Anolis sagrei: one gene and its partners. The protein of the gene in region 3 binds, or shares a complex with, the protein of the main gene of each other region. Links are inferred from orthologs where the notes say so. Each region holds a gene or a part of one and is shown on either strand. Other genes may lie near its edges.

Region 1 (7,703 bases), on a different chromosome or scaffold from region 3:
TAGAACAGTGTTTCTCAACCTTACTAATGCCGTGACCCATTAATACAGTTCCTCATGTTGTGGTGACCCCCAACCATAAAATTATTTTCCTTGCTACTTCATAACTGTAATTTTGCTACTGTTATGAATCGCAATGTAAATATCTGACATGCAGGATGTATTTCCACTCTTCGAACCAAATTTGGCACAAATACTCAATATGTTCAAATTTGAATGCTGGTGGGGTTGGGTGTGTGTGTGTGTTTTGACATTTGGGAGTTGTAGTTGGGGGGATTTATAGTTCACTTGCAATCGAAGAGCATTCTGAATCCCACCAATGAGAGAATTGGGCCAAACTTCCCACACAGAACTCCCATGACCAACAGAAAATACTGTGTATTCTGATGGTCTTTGGTGACCCCTCTGACACTCCCTCGTGACCCCTCCAGGGGTCCCGACCCCCAGGTTGAGAAACACTGTCATAGAAAATTGTCGGTGACCATGAGCAAGTCCTACTCTTTCAGCTCCAGAGGGAGCCGATGGCAAAATACTTTCAATAAATCTTGTCAAGAGAAGCCCATGATAGGCTCACCTTAGGGTTGACCAGAATAAAAAAAAAGGTGTCTGCAATCCATTCTGTGCAGTTCCTTGGGAATGAAGTACATTGGACATCTGGGGTAACAATTCTCAGTAGACACTATGATTATAATAGTCTTCATATTTAAGGATTACACCAGTAATGGATGGGGAAAGTAAACCTTAAGATCACCCTATATCATCAATGACCTGAAGGCATACAACAATCACATCAACAAAATGTGTGCATCAAGGGATGAAGACTCAGCACTCTTCTGTCCTGTTGATCCTTTTGTAAACTTGATAGTTTTTGCCCATTTACTTGTAACTTAGACATGTGTAACCACACTGTTTATCTATACCAATGGTTCCCAACCTTTCTTTGACGAGGGACCACTTGACCAGGGACCACTCTCCAACATTAGTACTAAAAGGGTTACAAATAAGTTTTTGGTCAACTTTAGATTCGTTTTGGTTATCTGAGGTGGTGATTCAGGAAATTGCATTGGATAGACCACATCAGCTCTAGTTTGTGATCCAGAACGTATGACATCCAGTAGACGCCATCTGCTCACCCACAGAAAACCATATTTAATCAGCCTTGGCACTAGAAGAGGGTTTTGCGATACCAGTCACTCTTGTTGCAACGGTATAGTAATGGTGAGACTGTGGACCATATTTTAGTTCTTATGGACCACTGGTAGTCCATGGACCACAGATTGGGAATCACTGATCTACATGGTTCCTATTTGAATTATCTCAGTTATTTGATTTACCTGTTGCATCTCTATAATTTTACAAATGTTACAGAACATTCGTCAGGTCCTTCTGCTCTACAGCTTCAACTGCCCCACAATCCACAAACAGTCTTAATATTTAAGGATGCAATAGAGGAAAATAAATTGCCCCCCATGAATATCATGAAGTTGGCAAAATTAACAATAGCTTGCAGTGACAAGTCCTCCTATCTTAATCCTATTTTAGTGTTAAGTTTTTGAGGTTTTAAATTGTGTAATGTATTGTTAGCCATTTTGGGTTTCATTTTAGAGTGAGAAAGCAGGATATAAATCAGGCATGAGCAGCCTATTGGCTGTTGGGAATGGTGGGAGTTGAAGCCCAAAACAACTGAAGGGCCCAAGTTGGCCCATGCCTGATATAAATACATATACATATAATAATATGTTTGTGAAAGTTTGCTTTGATGTTTACATCAGGCCAAGATGCCCATACGTTTAATCCATTTGGAACTGTTTAATGAACAATTTGTATTTCTAATGCTTTTGGTAGTCTATTTTCAAATCTTTTTAGACTAGGGGGGAGTCTATTTGTCATTGCATCAGTGATTCCATGTATTTTAAGATCGGTAATTATTGCTCTTTTTAGTGTTTTTTTTTTTTTTTTAAGTGGGGGGAGAAGATATACCTTTAAAAATCTATTCCTAGAGACAGGAAACCAGTTCATTTGTCTGTGAGGTTTCTCTGCCGCCAGGAAAAGGAAGAAGCCCAAGCCCCCCCCCCCCCCCCCCGTTTCCTTTCCTACCTCTAGCTGCTGCTGCTGCTATTTCCATGGGATGAGCTCATTCACTCGCGCCTTTGCGCAAAGCAATTCGTCGCCAGGGGGCGCCCGAGGCCGGATCCCAGCCTGCTGAATACAGACCCGAAATCTAATTCGTGACCGATAGATTCCCCCGCTCCTTCAGGTGGCCCGGGAGGGATCCGCATGGTCGGTCGACGGGATGGGGTGGGGAGGAGGCTCCGCTGAAATAACACCCCCCCCCCCGCCGCTCCCCTTTCCCTTAGTGCTCTTAAAATGAATTGGAGAGATCGCATGTCAAGCGCTTGACAGCTTGGGCAACGGGCTGCCCATTGAATTCGGATTCTGGTGCTGCAAAGTGACAGCTGGGTGGATCTGTTTGGTTCACGTCGTGGGAGGCGCACCAAGGCCGCCGCCGCCGCCGCCGCTACACCCCCCTCCTCCCTCTAACATGGTGTTTCAGCCACCTGGCGGGATGCGACTATTGGTGTGTGCGGTGCGCCCCCCTCCCTCCCTCCCTCCCAATGTATATAGGAGGAGGGAGCGCATGTGCATTTATCTACCCATGTGCATAGATCTAGCCATCTATTTCTCTATCTAGATACATGGATCTATCTATCAGTCTATTGATCGAGATCTGTCTATTTCTCTATCTGCCCAACTCTATCCATCTACTCTATCTGCCTATTTACCTATCAATACACACCTACGTATCTATCTCTTATCTATCTGTCTATCTGTCTTTTTCTATAGACCTACCTATCTACCTAGATCTATCTGTCTATACAGACCTACTTATCTACCTAGATCTATCTATCCATCTGTTTTTACAGACCTACCTACCACATCTATCTATATCTATCTATCTATCTATCTATCTATCTATCTATCCAGACTGACCTATCTACCTCTTATCTATCTGTCTGTCTATTTTTACAGACCTACCTATATACCTCTTATCTATCTATATCTATTTTTACAGACCTATCTATCTATCTACCTACCTACCTATCTGTTTTTATTTATTTATGACATTTATATGCCACCCTTCTCACTTTGAAGGGGACTCAGAGCAGCTTACAAGATATATATACATACAATATATTATATTATTAGCATAGCACAATATCAGTATTATATATTACATATTGTACTACACCATCTTATTGTAATAATATTACAATACAATGGTACAGTACAATATAGCAATTTTACATGTAATATAAAATATATAATTATAATAACATATTATTCATAGTAGTATTATTATATTGTATTACATTATAATATTATAAATATTATATGTATATGTACATTATATTATATTAAATTATTTAGCATAGCGCAGGAGATGAGGTGGAACTGTCTTCCTGGCCCTCTCTCTTCACTCTGGTCCCAGACCTACCTATCTATCTCTTATCTATCTATCTATCTATCTATCTATCTCTCTATTTATATAGACCTACCTATCTACCTAGATCTATCTCTCAATTGATCCTCTATATATACAGGCCTACCTATCTAACTAGATCTATCTATCTATCTATACAGACCTACCTACCTACCTAGATCTGTCTGTCTGTTTATTCTTACAGACCTTCCTATCTACCTAGATCTAGCTAGCTAGCTATCTGTTTTTACAGACCTGCCTATCTACCTAGCAATGGTTCTCAACCTGTGGGTCCCCAGATGTTTTGACCTCCAACTCCCAGAAATCCTATAAGCTGGTAAACTGGCTTGGATTTCAGGGAGTTGTAGGCCAAAACACCTGGGGACCCACAGATTGAGAACCATTGACCTAGATCTATCTATCTGTCCATCTGTCAATTATACAGGCCTACCTATCTACCTAGATCTATCTATCTATCTATCTATCTATCTATCTATTTACACAGATCCATCTATCTATCTATCTATCTATCTATCTATCGAGGTCTGTCTGCCTGTCTATCTATTTATCTGTCTATTTACACAGACCTACCTATCTACCTAGATCTGTCTATTTATACAGACCTACCTATCTCCCTAGATCGATCGATCGATCTGTCTGTCTATTTGTATAGACCTACCTCTCTACCTAGGTCTGTCTGCCTGCCTGCCTATCTACCTAGATCTGTCTATAGAGCTACCTACCTACTACCTACTTACCTACATCTATCCTCTCCCCCCCCCCCCGCCCCGCCCTCCTCGGGATGGAAAGCGAAGCAAAGGGATCCCGTGGACGCCGGTTTTGAGGGCGGGGGGGGGGGCAGGTTTCGCAGCGCAGAGAGGGAGACGCGGGGCAGGTCTCTCTGCGGGTGCCCATAAGGGTGACCCACACCCATCCCTCCATCCTCAGCGCCTTGGCCAAGGCAAGGGTGGCGGCTTTTATGCGGGGGCTCCTGGAGGAGAGGAGGGGGGCTGAGCCTCCTTCTCCTCCTCCTCCTCTCCTCTCCCCCTCCCCTCCCCATCCCCTCCCTCCTCAATGATGTCATGGAGAGGCAGCAGGAGGGAGGGAGGGAGGAGGGGAAGAGGAGGAGGAGGAGGAGGGAGGAGGATAGAGGCGGCGGCGGCGGTGGCGGCCCTGCAGGTCCGTGTGTGCCTGTAATGAGGAGGCGCCTGTCCCTGGGCCCAGAGGCTCCGGAGGAGGGAGGAACCGGGCCGGCCCCCCGCGGCTCCATGGCCAGGAGGAGGCAGCCAGGCCCGGAGCGGGGCGCCTCCTCCATGTGAAGCCCGGGAGGAAGGTGGGCTGGCTGCCGAGCGAGCGAGGGAGGGAGGCAGGCAAGGCAGGCAGAGGGGTCTTCCCCAAGACATCAACCGCCCCCCCCCTCCGATTATTGAGAAATTAGACGCCCCCAGCCGTGCTATTTGTGCAGCCCTGCTGCCCCCCCCCCCTGGATTGGATTGGGATAAAGGGTTCCGGGGCCTGGCTCCCCTCCCCTCGCCGCCTTTCCTCTGCTTGGCCTCCTCCGCCGCAGCCATGAATTCCGCGGAGCAGACCGTTACATGGCTGATCACCCTGGGGGTGCTGGAGTCGCCCAAGAAGAGCATCTCGGACCCGGAGGGCTTCCTGCAGGCCTCGCTCAAGGACGGCGTGGTGCTCTGCAGGCTCCTCGACCGCCTCCTCCCCGGCACCATCGACAAGGTGAGTCCGGATCGGACGCGGACCCCCCGCTTTCCAACCCTGCGCGGAAGGGGGGGAAGGGGGTTGAGACTGAGACTGAGACTGAGAGGGGGAACCTGGGTCTAGGATGAGGCTGGTGGGGTCTCCCTCTCCCTTTCTCCCCTTGCTCCTTTCCCCTAGTATCCACTATCCCCTGGGTATAGGATGAGGTTGGGGGTCTCTCTCTCTCTCTCTCCTCCTTTCCTTTGCTTCCCCCAGTATCCCACCCCCCACCCTCATCTCCCGCATGGCACAGTTTCGGATCTGGGCAGGATCAAGCGACACCCCCCTTTTCCTCCCCCTCCCGATCCGCTTTCCGCAAAGCCCTCCAGACTGGGGAAGACAAGAGAGGCTGGGGGAAATGCCCAGCACTTTCCTTTGTCCCGCATTAGCCTTGCAGAGGCAGGAAACGGGGGTCTTTTTAAGGGGAGCCCCCTCCCCACCCTATTTCCTCACCCCCTCGCATTGACATCCTTCCCTTCTCGCTGGGAAGGCGCCATTGTCAAGGCATGGGAGGGGGCTTCTCTCTTGGGAGGGAGACAGAGTTTGGGGCTGAGCAGCTCCTGCCTGCCTTGGGAGGTGGACCCCTCCCAAAAGGAGCTTTCCTTTGGTTCTCAATCATGACAAAACACATGTGGTTGGGCCCAGATCGCCCACAAAACCGTGCACTGCCCTAGGAGCGATGCTCAGCCCCACCTGATAGATCTACAGCAGATGGTGGCTCTTTTCCCCCCATCCTGTTTGAATGAAAACATGCTCGTTTTAGGGCATCCCTTGTTCTTTAATGAGAAATCACATCAAGGCCAAGAGGCAGGAAGCTTTTACAGCAGGGATGAAGGGCCTCCAATGGGATCCCTTCGCGGTCTATGAACAAGGCGCATGGTTTTGATGCTAGGAGTCTTTTTCAGATCCAAAGGCCAATTTTCTGGCCTCTTTGATAGTCATAGAATCCTAGAGTTGGAAGAGACCTTGTGGGCCATCCAGTCCAACCCCCTGTCAAGAAGCAGGGAAATAGCATTCAAAGCACCTCAGAGAGATGGCCATCCAGCCTCCAAAGAAGGCCTCCAAAGAAGGAGCCTCCACCACACTCAGGGCTGGCTATTGACAGGATGGACAAGCTCTCGGGCCCTCGTTTTGAATGGGATGTCAAAGCCTTCACAAGATTTATGTCAGAAGTCTCTATGATGTGGATATAATGATGTGCAATATTAGATGGGTAGACTAGAAGGAGCCACTACAGTCCCTGTTGCTTAAATAAGTCCTTTTTTAAATGAGGTGTGTCTCTCTAGCACTTCGCGTTGCAACATGCTGACCTAATTTGCAAAGGCACAGTTTGTGTGTGTTATTCTCCAAGATTTTAGTTTTGAGATTTCATTACTTGATGCTTTCTAAATCTGTTCAAATTGGAAAAAATATTGGTTTGTGTGGGGTTTTTTTTCTTGTCTCAAAATGTAAAATTCACAATATTTTTGTAAGATTCATAATATTCTTGGAAAATCCATAATATTCATGTAAAAACCATAATATTCTTGAATGTTTGTTCTTTTAAATATTATGTTGCCAAAGGCTTTCATGGCCGGAATTACTGGGTTGCATTCTCTCCTGACATTTTGCCCACATATATGGCAGGCACTCTCAGAGGTTGTGAGGTCTGTTGGAAACTAGGCAAGTGTGGTTTATATATCTGGAATGTCCAGTTTCCAACAGAGCTCACAACCTCTGAGGATGCCTGCCATAGATGTGGGCAAAACGTCAGGAGAGAATGCTTCTGGGACATAGCCATACAGCCCGGAAAACTCACAACAAGCCTTTAAAATATTGTTTCAATTCAAGTGATTACAGATGTGTGTTTTATTCTTTGTCTAAGAACCAGATATTCTGATTAGCACATTGCATTTCAATTTCCCTGGTTACAGTTCTGGAAAAATTGGTGCTTGTTCATTGATTCCCCCCTCTATAAACTATGGTGAACTTTGACCTACATATTGTTTTGCTTTTATTCTCTTTCATTGGTGGGAATGGGAAGCCCAGGCTAGTTTTTTTTTTTAAAGACGTTCCATGGTAATGTGAACTTGACATAAGAGAGGAACTGTTGTCTTTTGGAAAGGATATCCTAACCTGAAGTTTTGGCATTATTTCATAGATCTTTGTATCTTTTGAGTATCATTTGCATGACAGTAGCCTTTAGGGGGCAGAGTGGCTATTGGCAAGAGTGGTTTGTTTTTTATAATTGCTCTCAAATTGACTTTGAATTACAGGACACTATCCACTTCATCACATTCATTAAATACTACTGAGCCATCCACTTAAAAATGGCAACCTACTGTGTTCATCATATGACACAGTCTTCAAGTGTAGGGTAGAAATATCTTGTGGGTGAAAAAAATTCACAAGGTTATCTTTGAGATGCTTTCTAAGCTTGTTAGCAAGTAACTTTTTTTGCAGATTATCTGGTTAGATTTGAGTAAAATGG
Region 2 (7,060 bases), on a different chromosome or scaffold from region 3:
GATTATAGGTGAACTATAAATCCCAGCAACTACAACTCCCAAATTACAAAATAAATCCTCCCCCAACCCCACTAGCATAGTGGGTGCATTGGGTATTTGTGCCCAGTTTGGTCCAGTGAATGAAAATACATCTTGCACATCTGCTATTTAATTATGATTTATAACAGTAGTAAAATGACTGTTATGAAGCAGCAACAAAAACAATGTTATGGTTGGGGGTCACCACCACTGTTATGTATTAAGGGGTCACGGCATTAGGCAATGTTATGTATTAAGGGGTCACGGCATTAGGAAGGTTGAGAACCACTGGTTTAGGGCTTTGTAGGTAAGCACCTGCACCTTGAATTGGGTTCGGTAGGTAAACGGCAGCCAGTGGAGCTCCTTAAACAGGAGGATTGACCTCTCTCTGTAAGGAGCCCCAGTTAATATCCTGGACCAACTGAAATTTCTGAGCCGTCTTCAAGGGCAGCCCCACGTAGAGCGCATTACAGTAGTCCAGTCTAGAGGTGACCAAGGCATGGACCACCCCGGCCAAATCAGCCTTCACGAGGTACGGTCGCAGTTGGTGCACGAGTCTCAATTGTGCAAAAACCCTCCCGGACACTGCCGACACCTGAGCCTCAAGCGTGAGCGATGAATCCAAGAGGACTCCCAAGCTGCGGACCTGTGGCTTCAGGGGGAGTGTAACCCCGTCCAGCACAGGTTGCCACCCTAGACCCCTTGACCAAGAGGACCTCTGTCTTGTCGGGATTGATCTTCAGCTTGTTCCTCCTCATCCAGATAGACACAGCGGCCAGGCACTCGTCCAGCACTTGAGGGGCTTCCTTGGAGTTAGGTGGAAAGGAGTAGCAGAGTTGGGCATCATCTGCGTAGAGGTGGCACCCAACTCCAAAACTCCGGATGACCTCTCCCAGCGGTTTCATGTAGATCAGTGGTTCTCAACCTTCCTAATGCCGTGACCCCTTAACACAGTCCCCCATGTGGTGGTGACCCCCAACCATAATATTGTTTTGCTACTTCATAACAGTCATTTTACTACTGTTATAAATCATAATGTAAATATCTGATCTGCAGGATGCATTTTCGTTCACTGGGCCAAACTGGGCACAAATACCCAATACGCCCAAATGTGAATGCTAGTGGGGTTGGGGGAGGATTGCTTTTGTAATCTGGGAGTTGTAGTTGCTGGGATTTATAGTTCACCTTTAATCAAAGAGCATTCTGAACTCCACCAGCAATGGATTTGAAATTAATTTGGCACACAGAACTCCCATGACCAATGGAAAATACTGGAAGAGTTTGGTGGACATTGACCTTGAGTTTGGGAGTTGTACTTCACCTATAGCCAGAGAGCACTGTGGACTCACACAATGGTGGATCTGGACCAAACTTGGCACAAATACTCAATATGTCCAAATGTGAACACTGGTGGAGTCTGGGGAAAATAGACCTTGACTTTTGGGAGTTGTAGTTGCTGGGATTTATAGTTCACTACAATCAAAGAACATTCTGAACCCCACCAATGATAGAATTAGCTCAAACTTCCCACATGGAATCCCCATGACCATCAGAGAATACTGTGTTTTCTGATGATCTTTGGTGACCCCTCTGACACCCCCTCACGACCCCCTCAAGGGTCCCGACCCCCAGGCTGAGAAACACTGATGTAGATGTTAAAAAGCATGGGGGACAGAATGGAGCCTTGCAGGACCCCACAGGTCAACGGCCAGGAGTCCAAGCAGGCGTCTCCCAGCTTCACCATCTGGGTCCGTCCCTCCTGGAAGGACCGGAGCCACGACAGGACCGTGCCCCCGAGACCCATCCCGGAGAGACAACCCAAAAGGATACCATGATCGATGGTATCGAAAGCCGCTGAGATGTCCAAGCGAACACTCCCCCTGTCCAGCTCTCTATAGTAATAAAATAAAAATATAAAATAATAGCAATAAAATAACAATAGTAATATAAAATACTAGCAATAAAGTAATAACATAAAATAATAGTAATAAAATAATAATAATATAAAATGCTAGCAATAAAATAAAAATATAAAATAATAGCAATAAAATAACAATAGTAATATAAAGTAATAGTAATATAATAATATAAAATAATGGCAATAAAATTAAAATATACAATAACAATAATAATACAAAATAATAGTAATAAAATAAGAATAATATAAAATAATAGCAAAAATAATAATATAAAGTAATAGCAACAAAATAATAATAATAATATAAAATGCTAGCAATAAAATAATATAAAATAATAGCAAAAATAACAATATAAAATAATAGCAAAAATAACAATACTATAAAATAATAGTACCGTAATAAAATAATAGCAATAAAATAATAATATAAAATAATAGTAATAATATAAATAATATAAAATAATAGTGATAAAATAAAATAATATAAAATAATAGCAATGAAATAATAATATAATGTAATAGAAATAATAATAGTAATATAAAATAATAGCCATAAAATAACAATAATATAAAATAATAGTAATAAAATAATAATAATATAAAATAATAGTAATAAAATAATAATAAGTTATAATATAAAATAATAGTAACAAAGTAAAATAATAGCAATAAAATTATAATATAAAATAATACCAATAAAATAATAATATAAAATGATAGTAATAAAATAATAATAATATAAATAATAATATAAATAATATAAAATAATAGTAATAAAATAATATAATATAAAATACTAGCAATAAAATAATGGTATAATATAATAGCAATAATAATAGTAATATAAAATAATAGTAATAATATAAATAATAATATAAATAATAGTAATAAAATAAAATAATAGCAATAAAATTATAATATAAAATAATAGCAATAAAATAACAATAATAATATAAAATGCTAGCAAGGGAAGGCCCAAGTTGGCCCAGGCCTGAGGCCTTGAGGAATGATGGGAGTTGGAGTCCAAAAACACCTCAAGGGAAGGCCCAGGTTGGCCCAGGCCTGAGGCCTTGAGGAATGATGGGAGTTGGAGTCCAGCAACACCTCAAGGGAAGGCCCAAGTTGGCCAGGCCGGGCCTAGCGGGACCCCAGAAGCCTAAAGTAGAGTAGCAATCCCTGTCATGTCTTGGAAAGCGCCACTCCCTTCGCCTCGCCTCCTCATTGGCTCCCCTTGACTCCCCTTTCCCCATCCTCGTCCTCCGATTGGCTCTCCCTCCTGTCACTCCGAGGAAATCCCCCCGCCCCCGCTCTTACTACCTTCTCTCTCTCAGTTTCCCTCAGCGAGGCATCCTCTCTGCACACGCTGTCCACGCGCCGCCGGCCGCGCGCTGATTGGTCCGCCGGGTTGTAAACACGGCGCGTCGGCCAATGGGAGCGCTGTGCACGAGGGCAGCACGAGGGCGGCATGGAGATCAACAGGAAGGGCGGGGGTATAAAAGGGAGACTCCGGGGCGGAGCTGGCCAGACGCCGAGAAGGCAGCCGAGGGGAAGGAGCTCCTCAGCGCGCAACATAATCATTTTTTTGGGGCAAAAAGGGCTATTTTGGAGATTCTTTTAACATTATAGGAAATCATTACTATATTATACTAATATAATTTCCTATATTTAATATTATAGGAAGTTATTATTGGATAATAATTCATAATAATTACTAAAATTGGCAGTTTGGGAAATAAAAAATACTTCTGAGTTATTACTATTATTGTAATTAAAATATAGTATATAATTTGGATTTTTGGGGAATTAAAAATACTTTATTACTATTATAGTAATTATAATATTACTATTATAGTAATTTTATATAATTTGGATTTTTGGGGAATTAAAAGTACTTCAGATTTATTACTATTATAGTAGTATATAATTTGGATTTTGGGGGAATTAAAAATACTTTATTACTATTATAGTAATTATAATACACTGATAATTGATTTCAATTGGCTGTTATATATTGCATATAATTACTGAAATTATTTTAATTTTTTTTAGAAATTTATCGTAATTGGGAAATTTATAGAATCTAAAAATATTTGAGAAATTTATCATAACTGGCAAATTTAAAAGACTCAAAATACTTCAGAATTTATTCTAATTGGGAAATTTATAGAATCTAAAAATATTTTTTGAAATTTATTCTAATTGGGAAATTTAAAAGAATCTAAAAATATTTTTTAAATTTACTATAATTGGCAAATTTATATATATTTGCCCCCTTTTTATGCTCCATTGGGAGGCACAACAAGACCCCCGTGCCCCTTTCGTGTGGTCAGTTGACCCCTTGAGCGTTTGGCCCATTTGATCAGGAGGACAAAACCAAGGTGTGAGCCATGGTGATGTTCAAGAAGCTGAAGGTCTTCCAGCTGTCCTTCTCCGAACCAGACGAGAAGGTCTACGGGAGCGGCGAGAAGGTCTGCGGCCGTGTTGAGGTCCAGGTCTCGGAGGTCACGCGGGTCACGGCCTTGCGCCTCCTGGCCTGCGGGGTGGCCAAGGTCTGCTGGACCGCCGGGCCGCAGCAGCGCAAGCAGTGCATGGAGTACCTGCGCTATGAAGAGGAGCTACACCTGGAGGACCAACCTCAAGGTGAGCATCTCCTGATTTCCTACAGCAAGTACGGGCCAGATTTGGCCCTCCGGGTGGTCAACAGTAAAAATGTGGGAGTGGGGTTAAATAAATGGGAAGGTGAGCATCTTCTAAGGAAGGTACGGGCCAGATCTGGGCCTCCAGGTGGTTTGGACTCCCAAGTCAACAATGCAAGGGTGGAAGTGAGATTCAATAAATAGGAAGGTGAGCATCTTCTAAAGAAGGTACAAGCCAGATCTGGACCTCCAGGTGGTTTGGACTTCAGATCAACAGTGAAAATGTGGGAGTCGGGTAAAAGGAATGGAAAGGTGAGCATCTTCTAAAGAAGGTATGGGCCAGATCTGGACCTCCAGGTGGTTTGGAGTCCCAAGTCAACAATGAAAGGGTGGAAGTTGGGTTCAATAAATAGGAAGGTGAGCATCTTCTAAGGAAGGTACGGGCCAGATCTGGACCTCCAGGTGGTTTGGATTCCCAAGTCAACAGTGAAAATGTGGGAGTTGGGTTAAATAAATAGGAAGGTGAACATCTCCTGAAGAAGGTATGATCCAGATTTGGCCCTCCAGGTGGTTTGGAGTCCCAAGTCAACAATGAAAGGGTGGAAGTGGAGTTCAATAAATAGGAAGGTGAGCGTCTTCTAAAGAAGGTATGGGCCAGATCTGGACATCCAGGTGGTTTGGAGTCCCAAGTCAACAATGAAAGGGTGGAAGTGGGATTCAATAAATAGGAAGGTGAGCATCTTCTAAAGACGGTACGGACCAGATCTGGACATCCAAGTGGTTTGGACTCACAAGTCAACAATGAAAGGTTGGGGGTGGGGTTCAATAAATAGGAAGGTGAGCATCTCCTAAAGAAGGTAATCTTTCAGAGTTGGCCAGGCCCGTTCCGAAGTATCGTTCTCCCATTGCTAGGTCTGGGAAGTCTGCACAAAGGTCACACAATTTGGATGGTCAGTGTCAAAACCAGGCCGAGCTGGACGCTGAGAGTCTTGAGACAGAAGGACGGACAGGAGAAAGGAGCAATAATAATAACTCTTAATCGCTCCTGTCCACCTGCTGCTACTGGCGTTTGGCAGCTGTGACGATCTGGATCGAGGGTGTACGTATCGAAATTGGATCCAGACAAGACGGGAGTACATCCTGGTCAGCCAAAAGGCCAAACAGGGTCTAGGGTTACGGGTCTGGGCAGTGGCCAGGGGACCTTTTGCACAGTTAAGACTTGTGCCCGTACATTGAGAAGCCAGTCTTGGCCACGCTCTTGTTACATTCCCCGAATAGACTACTGCAACGCGCTCTGGGTGGGGCTGCCTTTGAAGACTGTTCAGAAGCTTCAAATGATCCAATGCAGCAGCGGGCATAGAGATCTTGTTTGTTGTGTATCAAGCAATAATAAAAAATAATAACATAGCTACTTTATAAATAACCACTTTGAGTCTCCTTCGTGGAGAGGAAAAGAGGAATATAAGTAAACATCGTAATAATACGGTTGTTTTGAGAGGTCTTTTTTGTAAACAGTTAACAAAAGAATGGGTTGCGGTTTCCAATGATTCATGGCTTAAAATAGATGTCAACAGAATCTGTTCAGCAAGAGATCAGTGGAATGAGCTCAACTGCTCATTAAGGAGTTATGTTGAATGATATGGGTGACTATATATATTATATATATATATATGTATATAAAAATGAAGATTCAAACTGCATTGTCCGTACAGTCAGGGTAGATCCAGCTTGTGTTGGATCTTTGGGTTCATAGCTTGGTTGTGTTTACATGTGTTTCTAGGCACTTATCTTATTTATTATTTATTATCTTGGTTTGCATATTTGAAAAATAGATACGTAGGGTGCACCTACAGTGTAGAAATGAATGCGGTTCGATGCCCTTTTGAAAGTGGTTTGACACCACTGTAATATATTATATGTGTGGTTTGATACCACTGCAATATATTATATATGCATATTAGGCTTGGGCAATCCGTGGTTCTAAATGGTTCTAAAGTACTTACAAAACTAAAGTTCTGGTGGTGAAAATTTCAGAACTCTTAACAAAACTTTCAAAATTTAATTATTATTTAATTATTGGTGATTTTAATGACAGAACCAATTAGGAACTGCCATTTATTATGAAATTTTGAGAGTTTTGTTAGAGTTCTGAAATTTTCACCACCAGAACTTTAGTTTTGTAAGTACTTTAGAACCATTTACAACCATGGATTGCCCAAGCCTAATGCGTATTATATGTGTGTATGTATATAGTGTAATATTTGTTTGTGGGATTAACATAGCTCAAAAACCACTGGACAAATTGACACCAAATTTGGACACAATACTCGTATTAGGCCAACAAGTGACCATCACTCATAAAAACACTGAAAAACAGAATAGAAGAGACTTAAAAAGCCCCAAAAAATTACAACACATGCACAAAACCACTTATACATATATACACACACACACGTAAGACATATACATTGGCTGGGCCACAGCAACG
Region 3 (7,006 bases):
CTCTGAAAAATATACACTTCTCAATTTTCACAGATATCCTATATACTATATTTACATTAATAGCTGGCTTTTCAACACAAGCCAAATCTTTCTCTTTTCCACTCTTCCAGTGAATATATATCCAAGCAACCAGCTTAGACCATTTATTGCCCTCTCCTATTTAAATATCCATTTAGTACTGCAATAATGTATGTCCTGCTCTCAATCATGCAAATTGACATGGTGCACCTGTCACCCCAATCTCTTTAAAGGCATAGCTTTAGAGACATGGCCATCAAAATAACCAGGCATTTCTTGCAGTCAGAAAGTTTTATTCTGAAACACTTTAAAAAGATAGAATAATACAGAGAACTGAAGCTCTAGGGGTGCCACCAAAATGGAGGAACCCTGAGCAATGATAGCACATTCTCTTTGATAGTTTCACAGTGCTGTGCCACCCTTTTGGGGCATCACTCAACCAGACAATTTCACATCATGGTCCATGTCCCCACCCTGCAACCCCCTTTTGTTCAGTTCTTATCAGTAGGAATCCTTCGTCCCAACCCACCATGTACAAGGTGAGTGCTGACGATAATAGGCAGGCAAGATTCTGGCAAACCTTCAGCTTATCGAGGCCATCTGTGTCCGGCAGGGTGGGGTGCGGGGTGCTCACACACCTATTGGAAAAAACAGTGGGGCAATGTAATGTACACAAAATAAGTGTTTATCCCATATTATATGACAGTGGAAACTCATACAATCCAGCTCAAAGCAGACAACCTGGGATCAGATCCTGGGATATAAGGACAGTGTAGAAAGGGCCTTATCTGCCAAAGCTTCAAGATGAATTCATTTCTTAAAGACTTGTTTCGTTATGACATCTCCAAAACCAAGAGTATTTCTTGTAAAAACTGTCTTGCTACTGCATGACTAGAGGTGCTTGGTGTAAACAACCTGAATGGAATTTCCATAAAATAAGTTCCTTGGACCATTTGAGAATGCATCTCCATTGTAAAAATTAATAGTTTGATCCCACTTTAAGTGTCCTGGTTCAATGTTATGGTACCTTGGGAGTTGTAGTTTGCATGAGGCAGCAGTACTCTTTGGCAGAGAAAGCTAAAGGCTTTGTACCACAATCACACATCATCAGCGATTATTTGTGTTCGAGTAGGATGGCCTTCCAAGGGTAAGGTATTGACCGTAGGTCCATAGGTGACTGTGGAGATCTATTCTTGAGCCTCATGTTCTTCCACAGTGAGTAGGTTGGTTTCCAGATGAAAGATGGTCTCGGTCAGGACTGGCGGAAGGGAGAAACGCATCTTCCTCTTGACGCGTCTTGCTCTTGACATGTTTCTCCCTTTCGGCCTCCATTCATGCCTCTTCAAATGTCACAGCACTGTTCGTCACAGCTAATCTCCAGTTACAGCGCTCAAGGGCCAGGGCGTCCCAGTTCTGAGTGTCTATGGCACAGTTTTTAAGGTTGGTTTTAAGCCCATCTTTAAATCTCTTTTCCTCTTCACTAACATTCAGTTTTCCATTCTTCAGTTGGGAGTAGAGTAACTGCTTTGGGAGATGGTGGCTAGTCCAGTGGAGGTGATGGCGGAGGATCATCGCTTCAGTGCTGATGGGCTTTGCTTCTTCCAGCACGCTGACGTTTGTCCACTTGTCTTCCCAAGAAATTTGCAGGATTTTCCAGAGGCAGCACTGATGGAATTATCCCAGGAGTTGAGTGTGACATTTGTACAGTCCATGTTTTGCAGGCAACAACAGGGTTGGGAGGACAATAGCTTTATAAACAAGCATTTTGGTCTCCCTACAAATGTCCTGATACTCAAACACTCTCTGCTGCATTCAGAAAAATGCTGCACTCACAGAGCTGAGACGGTGTTGCATTTCAGTGCCAATGTTGACTTTTGTGGACAGGTGGTTGCCAAGATAGCGGAAATGGTCAACATTTTCTAATGTTACACCATTAATCTTTGATTGCTGTTTTTAAATTGTTTTAAATTGTTTTTAAATTGTGTTCAATTTTAGCCTGTTCTTGTAAGCCGCTCTGAGCCCCAGGGGAGTGGTGGCATATAAGTTCAAATAATAAATAAATAAATAAATAAATAAATAAATAAATCTGTATTTCTGGCATTGCAGAAGGATTGGTTGGTGACTGCTAGAAGTGCACTTCGATTTTCTTGATATTCAATGAGAGACCAAGGAGCCCCCGGTGGCGCAGTGGATTAAATCTTTGTGCTGGCAGGACTGAAGACTGACAGGTTGCAGGTTCGAATCCGGGGAGAGCATGGATGAGCTCCCTCTGTTAGCTCCAGCTCCCCATACAGGGACATGAGAGAAGCCTCCCACAAGGATGGTAAAATATCAAAACATCCTGGACATTCCCTGGACAAGGTCCTTGCAGATGGCCAATTCTCTCACAACAGAAGCAACTTGCAGTTTCTCAAGTCGCTCCTGACACACACAAAAAAATGAGAGGCCGAGCTTCTTGTATGCTTCTGCCAAGGTGTTTCGAGTGGCTTGTAGGTCGTCTTCTGAATGAGCACAGATTATCATCAGCATATTGGGGGTCTAACAGATGTTGTTGTGACCATGGTTTTGGCTTTCAGTCTGCTGATATTAAATAGCTTACCATCTGTCCTATGGATGACTTCCTTGTGGGAGGCTTCTCTCATGTCCCTGCATGGGGAGCTGGAGCTAACAGGGGGAACTCATCCATGCTCTCCCCGGATTTGAACCTGCGATCTGTCGGTCTTCAGTCCTGTTTTGTTGTTGTTCATTCGTTCAGTCGTCTCCGACTCTTCGTGACCTTATGGACCAGCCCACGCCAGAGCTCCCTGTCGGCCGTCACCACCCCCAGCTCCTTCAAGGTCAGTCCAGTCACTTCAAGGATGCCATCCATCCATCTTGCCCTTGGTCGGCCCCTCTTCCTTTTACCTTTCACTTTCCCCAGCATAATTGTCTTCTCCAGGCTTTGCTGTCTCCTCATGATGTGGCCAAAGTACTTCAACTTTGTCTCTAGTATCCTTCCCTCCAGTGAGCAGCCGGGCTTTATTTCCTGGAGGATGGACTGGTTGGATCTTCTCACAGTCCAAGGCACTCTCAGCACTTTCCTCCAACACCACAGTTCAAAAGCATTGATCTTCCTTCGCTCAGCCTTCCCTAAGGTCCAGCTCTCACATCTGTAGGTGACTACAGGGAATACCATGGCTTTGACTAGGCGGATCTTTGTCATTTCTCTTACTTTGTGACAAATCTTCAGGATTCAGCATCTTGACTATGCGGATCTTTGTTGCCAGTGTGATGTCTCTACTCTTTACGATTTTATCGAGACTGGACATTGCTCTCCTCCCAAGAAGTAAGCGTCTTCTGATTTCCTGGCCAGTCTGCATCTGCAGTAATCTTTGCACCTAGAAATACAAAGTCTGTCACGGCCTCCGCATTTTCTCCTGACACACACAAAAAAATGAGAGGCCGCGCTTCTTGTATGCTTCTGCCAAGGCATTTCGAGTGGCATGTAGGTCTTCTTCTGAATGAGCACAGATTACATTATCATCAGCATATTGGAGTTCTAACAGATGTTGTTGTGACCATGGTTTTGGCTTTCATTCTGCTGAGGTTAAATAGCTTGCCATCTGTCCTATGGATGATTTCCACACCACTACCCTAGCATTAAATCGGTGTCAAAGCGTGTTAAATCTACAGTGCCCCTTTCTGGAAACATGAGCGTGACACAAAGAAATAAAAGGACTTGTGTACTTGAAAGTTGCGGCATAACAGCTGGGCAAAAGGTCAAAACCCTTCCTTCTGCGTCAACAGGATCAAAGCGAAACCCACAAGTCGAACCAGGCTCTTCCTTCTCACCCGAATCAGCAGGCTTCCCTCCCCCTCCCCTCCCGGCTTTCCGCGGTAACCAATCAGAGCGAGCGCGAGCCTTCCCGAGGCCTGCTGGGGCGTGTAGTCCCGCGCCCACCTTCGTGCTCCTCGCGCCTCTTGCGCATGCGCCCGCGCTGCCCGACTTTGGAGAGTCGCCGCCTCAGGTTGGACTTGGACTGGCTGCCATCTTAGGCGAGAAGCCGTCGCCTGTCGGGCTGGTAAGGAGGAAGTGCGCCGCGGGGCCGGAGGGGCAGCCAGGGAGGGTCTGCCTCAGGGGTGGGCCTGGTGGGAGAGGAGTGGGCTGTGGGGCGGAGGACTTTGGCGTGGGCATCTTGATGGCTGTCTACGAGGAGGAAGGAGGAAGCCTGGGGGAGTAGGCCTGGAGGCAGGGGGTCGCCTCAGGTGCCTCCCAGTAGAATACTGTTGAAGAAGAAATACCCCCAACCCTTGGCTTCCTTTGCTCTCCCTCAAAAGCTCAGAGGCACGCCGCTCCCTGGATTCCTGGCTGTATTTTGAAGCCTATCATTCCTTGGTGGAGAGGCCCTCTTTCTTTAATTCCGCCATTCATTCACCCCCTCCCTCCATAATAGGCGATTGTTTGGTCAGATCTTGAGGCCTTCTGTTGTCCAGAGATATATATTATAATAGTGATGATGATGATGATTTTAATTTGTGACCCGCCTCTCCTCACAGATTATACTATAGTTCAAATACATAGCTGCTTTGAGTACCCTGTATTGAAAGAGAGGATGATAATAGCAAAGCAAATAACAACAACAGTAATGGTAATGATAAAATGCATAAAAATACATAGCTGCTTTGAGTATCCTGTATTGATAGAAAGGTAGGATGATAATAAAGCAAATAATAATAACAGCTCTAATGGTAATGATAAAATACACAGCTGTTTTGAGTCCCTGCATTGAGAGAAAGGTGGGATAATAATAAAGCAAATAATAACAATAACAGTAATGGTAATGATACAGTGCATAGCTGCTTTGAGTACCCAGTATTGATAGAAAGGTAGGATGGTAATAACGCAAATAATAATAACAACACTAATGGTAATGATAAAATACACAGCTGTTTTGAGTCCCTGCATTGAGAGAAAGGTAGGATGGTAATAAAGCAAATAATAATAATAATAACTCTAATGGTAATGATAAAATACATAGCTGCTTTGAGTCCCTGCATTGAGAGAAAGGTGGGATAATAATAAAGCAAATAATAACAATAACAGTAATGGTAATGATACAATACATAGCTGCTTTGAGTACCCTGTATTGATAGAAAGGTAGGATGATAATAAAGCAAATAACAATAACACTAATGGTAATGATAAAATACAGGCTGCTTGGAGTAGCCTGTATTGAAAGGTAGGCTAATAAAAGAATAATAACAGCAACTGCAATAGTAATGATAACATACATAGCTGCTTTGAGTAGCCTGTATTGAGAGAAAGGTAAGATAAAAATAAAGCAAATAACAACAACTAATGGTAATAATAATAATACAGTTCTTGTATTTGTTACCAGCCTCTCCACATGTCTCAAAGGCAGAGTACAGTATAGTTAAAACACATTACTGCCCCCCCCCAGTCCCTGTATTTAGAAAAAGATGGGATAACAATAAAGCAAATAATGATGACAATTGTAGTAATAATAACACCTTGTATTAGTTACCTGCCTCTCCTGAAGGCTCAAGGCAGAGTACAACATAGTTTAAACACACTAAATACATAGTTGCCTTGAGTCCCTGTATAGGGAGAAAGGTGGGATAAAAACCAAGCAAATAAATATAATAGTAGTAGTGATAGTAAGAATAATACTTTATTTGTTACCTGCCTCTCCTCGTGGCTGAAGGCAGGATATAATATAAATACATAAAATACATAGCAGCCCTGAGTCCCTGTATCACAAGAAAGCCAGGATAAAAATAAAGCAAATAAATATAATAGTAGTGATGATGATGATGATGATACAGTATTTGTTAGCCAGCTCTCCTCATGCCTCAAGCCAGGTACAATATAGTTAAAATATTCTCCTATGTCTGAAGAAAGGTGGAATGTCATTTGATAAGGGATGTGATTTTTGGAAATCCCAGGTTTTTAATTTCACTTGCCAGCAGGCCTCTAGGTACTATTTTCTGTTCCTCTTCTGCTCTTTAATCTGCCACCTCTTCAGGATGTATTGGTATCAAAACATATTCCTTGTTCTTATTCCCTGTGGTTTGCATGTGTCTCTGTCATCTAGTGGCCATATCAAAGCAGCACTAGCTACTACTTACTGGGAAATCCCGCCCATCTTTGGAAAGAAGCCAGTGGATAAATTGGTAGGTTAGTCTGGAAGGGAAAACCCTGGATCAAATGCTCACCTAGCTGTGACACTTTGTGGGTGTGCTGTGCATATATGGGATGCCGTGGAGTCCTATTCAACTAGGACTCGGCTTGGCACATGGCCCTGTTTATTTACAATCTCCTTTGACACTGTTGTTATGTTTATCCTACCAAGGTACCTAATTTCTGCATGAACGGTGAACTGGTTTTTGCTGGGTGCTCTCTTGTGTCCTTCCTGTCATCTCACATGTTTATTGTGAGGCTCTAGCGTCTAAATAGCCTATAGGCACCAGATCCTGTCTGATCTTGGAAGCTATGTGGGGTCAGCCCTGATGAATACTCAGATGGGAGACTGCTGATAAATACCAGGTGCTGTAGGCTATATTTCAGAGGAGGGAACTGGCAAAACCGCCTCTGAGTATTCCTTGCCTAAGAAACCCCTATAGAATTCAGGGGGTTGCTATGAGACAACAGGCAATTTGAAGGCACGTATACAAACACAAAATGCTGCTCTGAGCTCTTAAAAGAGTACAAGAGAGTGAAAAATATAGTTAGTGCAGTATAATATTGTTATACTGACATTAACAGTTCTTAGTTTCCGTCACTGCTGTTGTTTTGTTTGAAGAGAAAAGGTAGAATTTCTTTTGGTTTAGGCACAGTTCAGATAGTTTGTACTCCTCCTTTTATAAGATTGGGAATTGTTTGGAGAGAATGCAAACATTTTGTAAATAATTTCAATGTGAGGTTTTTGAAAGTTCTTATAGTAATAGTAATAATTTCTGTGAACAGATGAGTCATAAAAGAAATAAA

Evidence for each region.
Region 1: the proteins of ITCH (region 3) and ARHGEF7 are in contact, whole or in part, in a crystal structure (PDB 5SXP), measured with the Homo sapiens proteins. The link is inferred for Anolis sagrei from reciprocal best matches to the Homo sapiens genes ITCH and ARHGEF7. Residues at the interface, in NP_001244066.1 of Homo sapiens: Arg252, Pro253, Pro254, Arg255, Pro256, Arg258, Pro259, Pro260, Pro261, Pro262, Thr263, Pro264, Arg266; in NP_001106983.1 of Homo sapiens: Phe193, Phe195, Thr198, Asp201, Glu202, Arg215, Glu217, Glu218, Gly219, Gly220, Trp221, Glu223, Thr230, Trp232, Pro234, Asn236, Tyr237.
Region 2: the proteins of ITCH (region 3) and TXNIP are in contact, whole or in part, in a crystal structure (PDB 5CQ2), measured with the Homo sapiens proteins. The link is inferred for Anolis sagrei from reciprocal best matches to the Homo sapiens genes ITCH and TXNIP. Residues at the interface, in NP_001244066.1 of Homo sapiens: Glu485, Arg487, Thr489, Tyr495, Val497, Asp498, His499, Arg502, Thr503, Thr504, Thr505, Tyr506, Leu516; in NP_006463.3 of Homo sapiens: Pro328, Glu329, Ala330, Pro331, Pro332, Cys333, Tyr334, Val337, Ile338.

Annotation. Positions count from the first base shown.
Region 1 is NC_090023.1:109,923,629-109,931,331, reverse strand, and holds the start of ARHGEF7 (rho guanine nucleotide exchange factor 7), read left to right. Parts: upstream 1-4,679; 5' UTR 4,680-5,047; coding exon 5,048-5,212; intron 5,213-7,703. UniProt on the Homo sapiens protein: Acts as a RAC1 guanine nucleotide exchange factor (GEF) and can induce membrane ruffling. Functions in cell migration, attachment and cell spreading. Promotes targeting of RAC1 to focal adhesions. May function as a positive regulator of apoptosis.
Region 2 is NC_090032.1:21,931,767-21,938,826, forward strand, and holds the start of TXNIP (thioredoxin-interacting protein), read left to right. Parts: upstream 1-4,036; 5' UTR 4,037-4,323; coding exon 4,324-4,576; intron 4,577-7,060. UniProt on the Homo sapiens protein: May act as an oxidative stress mediator by inhibiting thioredoxin activity or by limiting its bioavailability.
Region 3 is NC_090024.1:210,561,248-210,568,253, forward strand, and holds the start of ITCH (E3 ubiquitin-protein ligase Itchy homolog), read left to right. Parts: upstream 1-3,983; 5' UTR 3,984-4,079; intron 4,080-7,006. UniProt on the Homo sapiens protein: Acts as an Acts as an E3 ubiquitin-protein ligase which accepts ubiquitin from an E2 ubiquitin-conjugating enzyme in the form of a thioester and then directly transfers the ubiquitin to targeted substrates.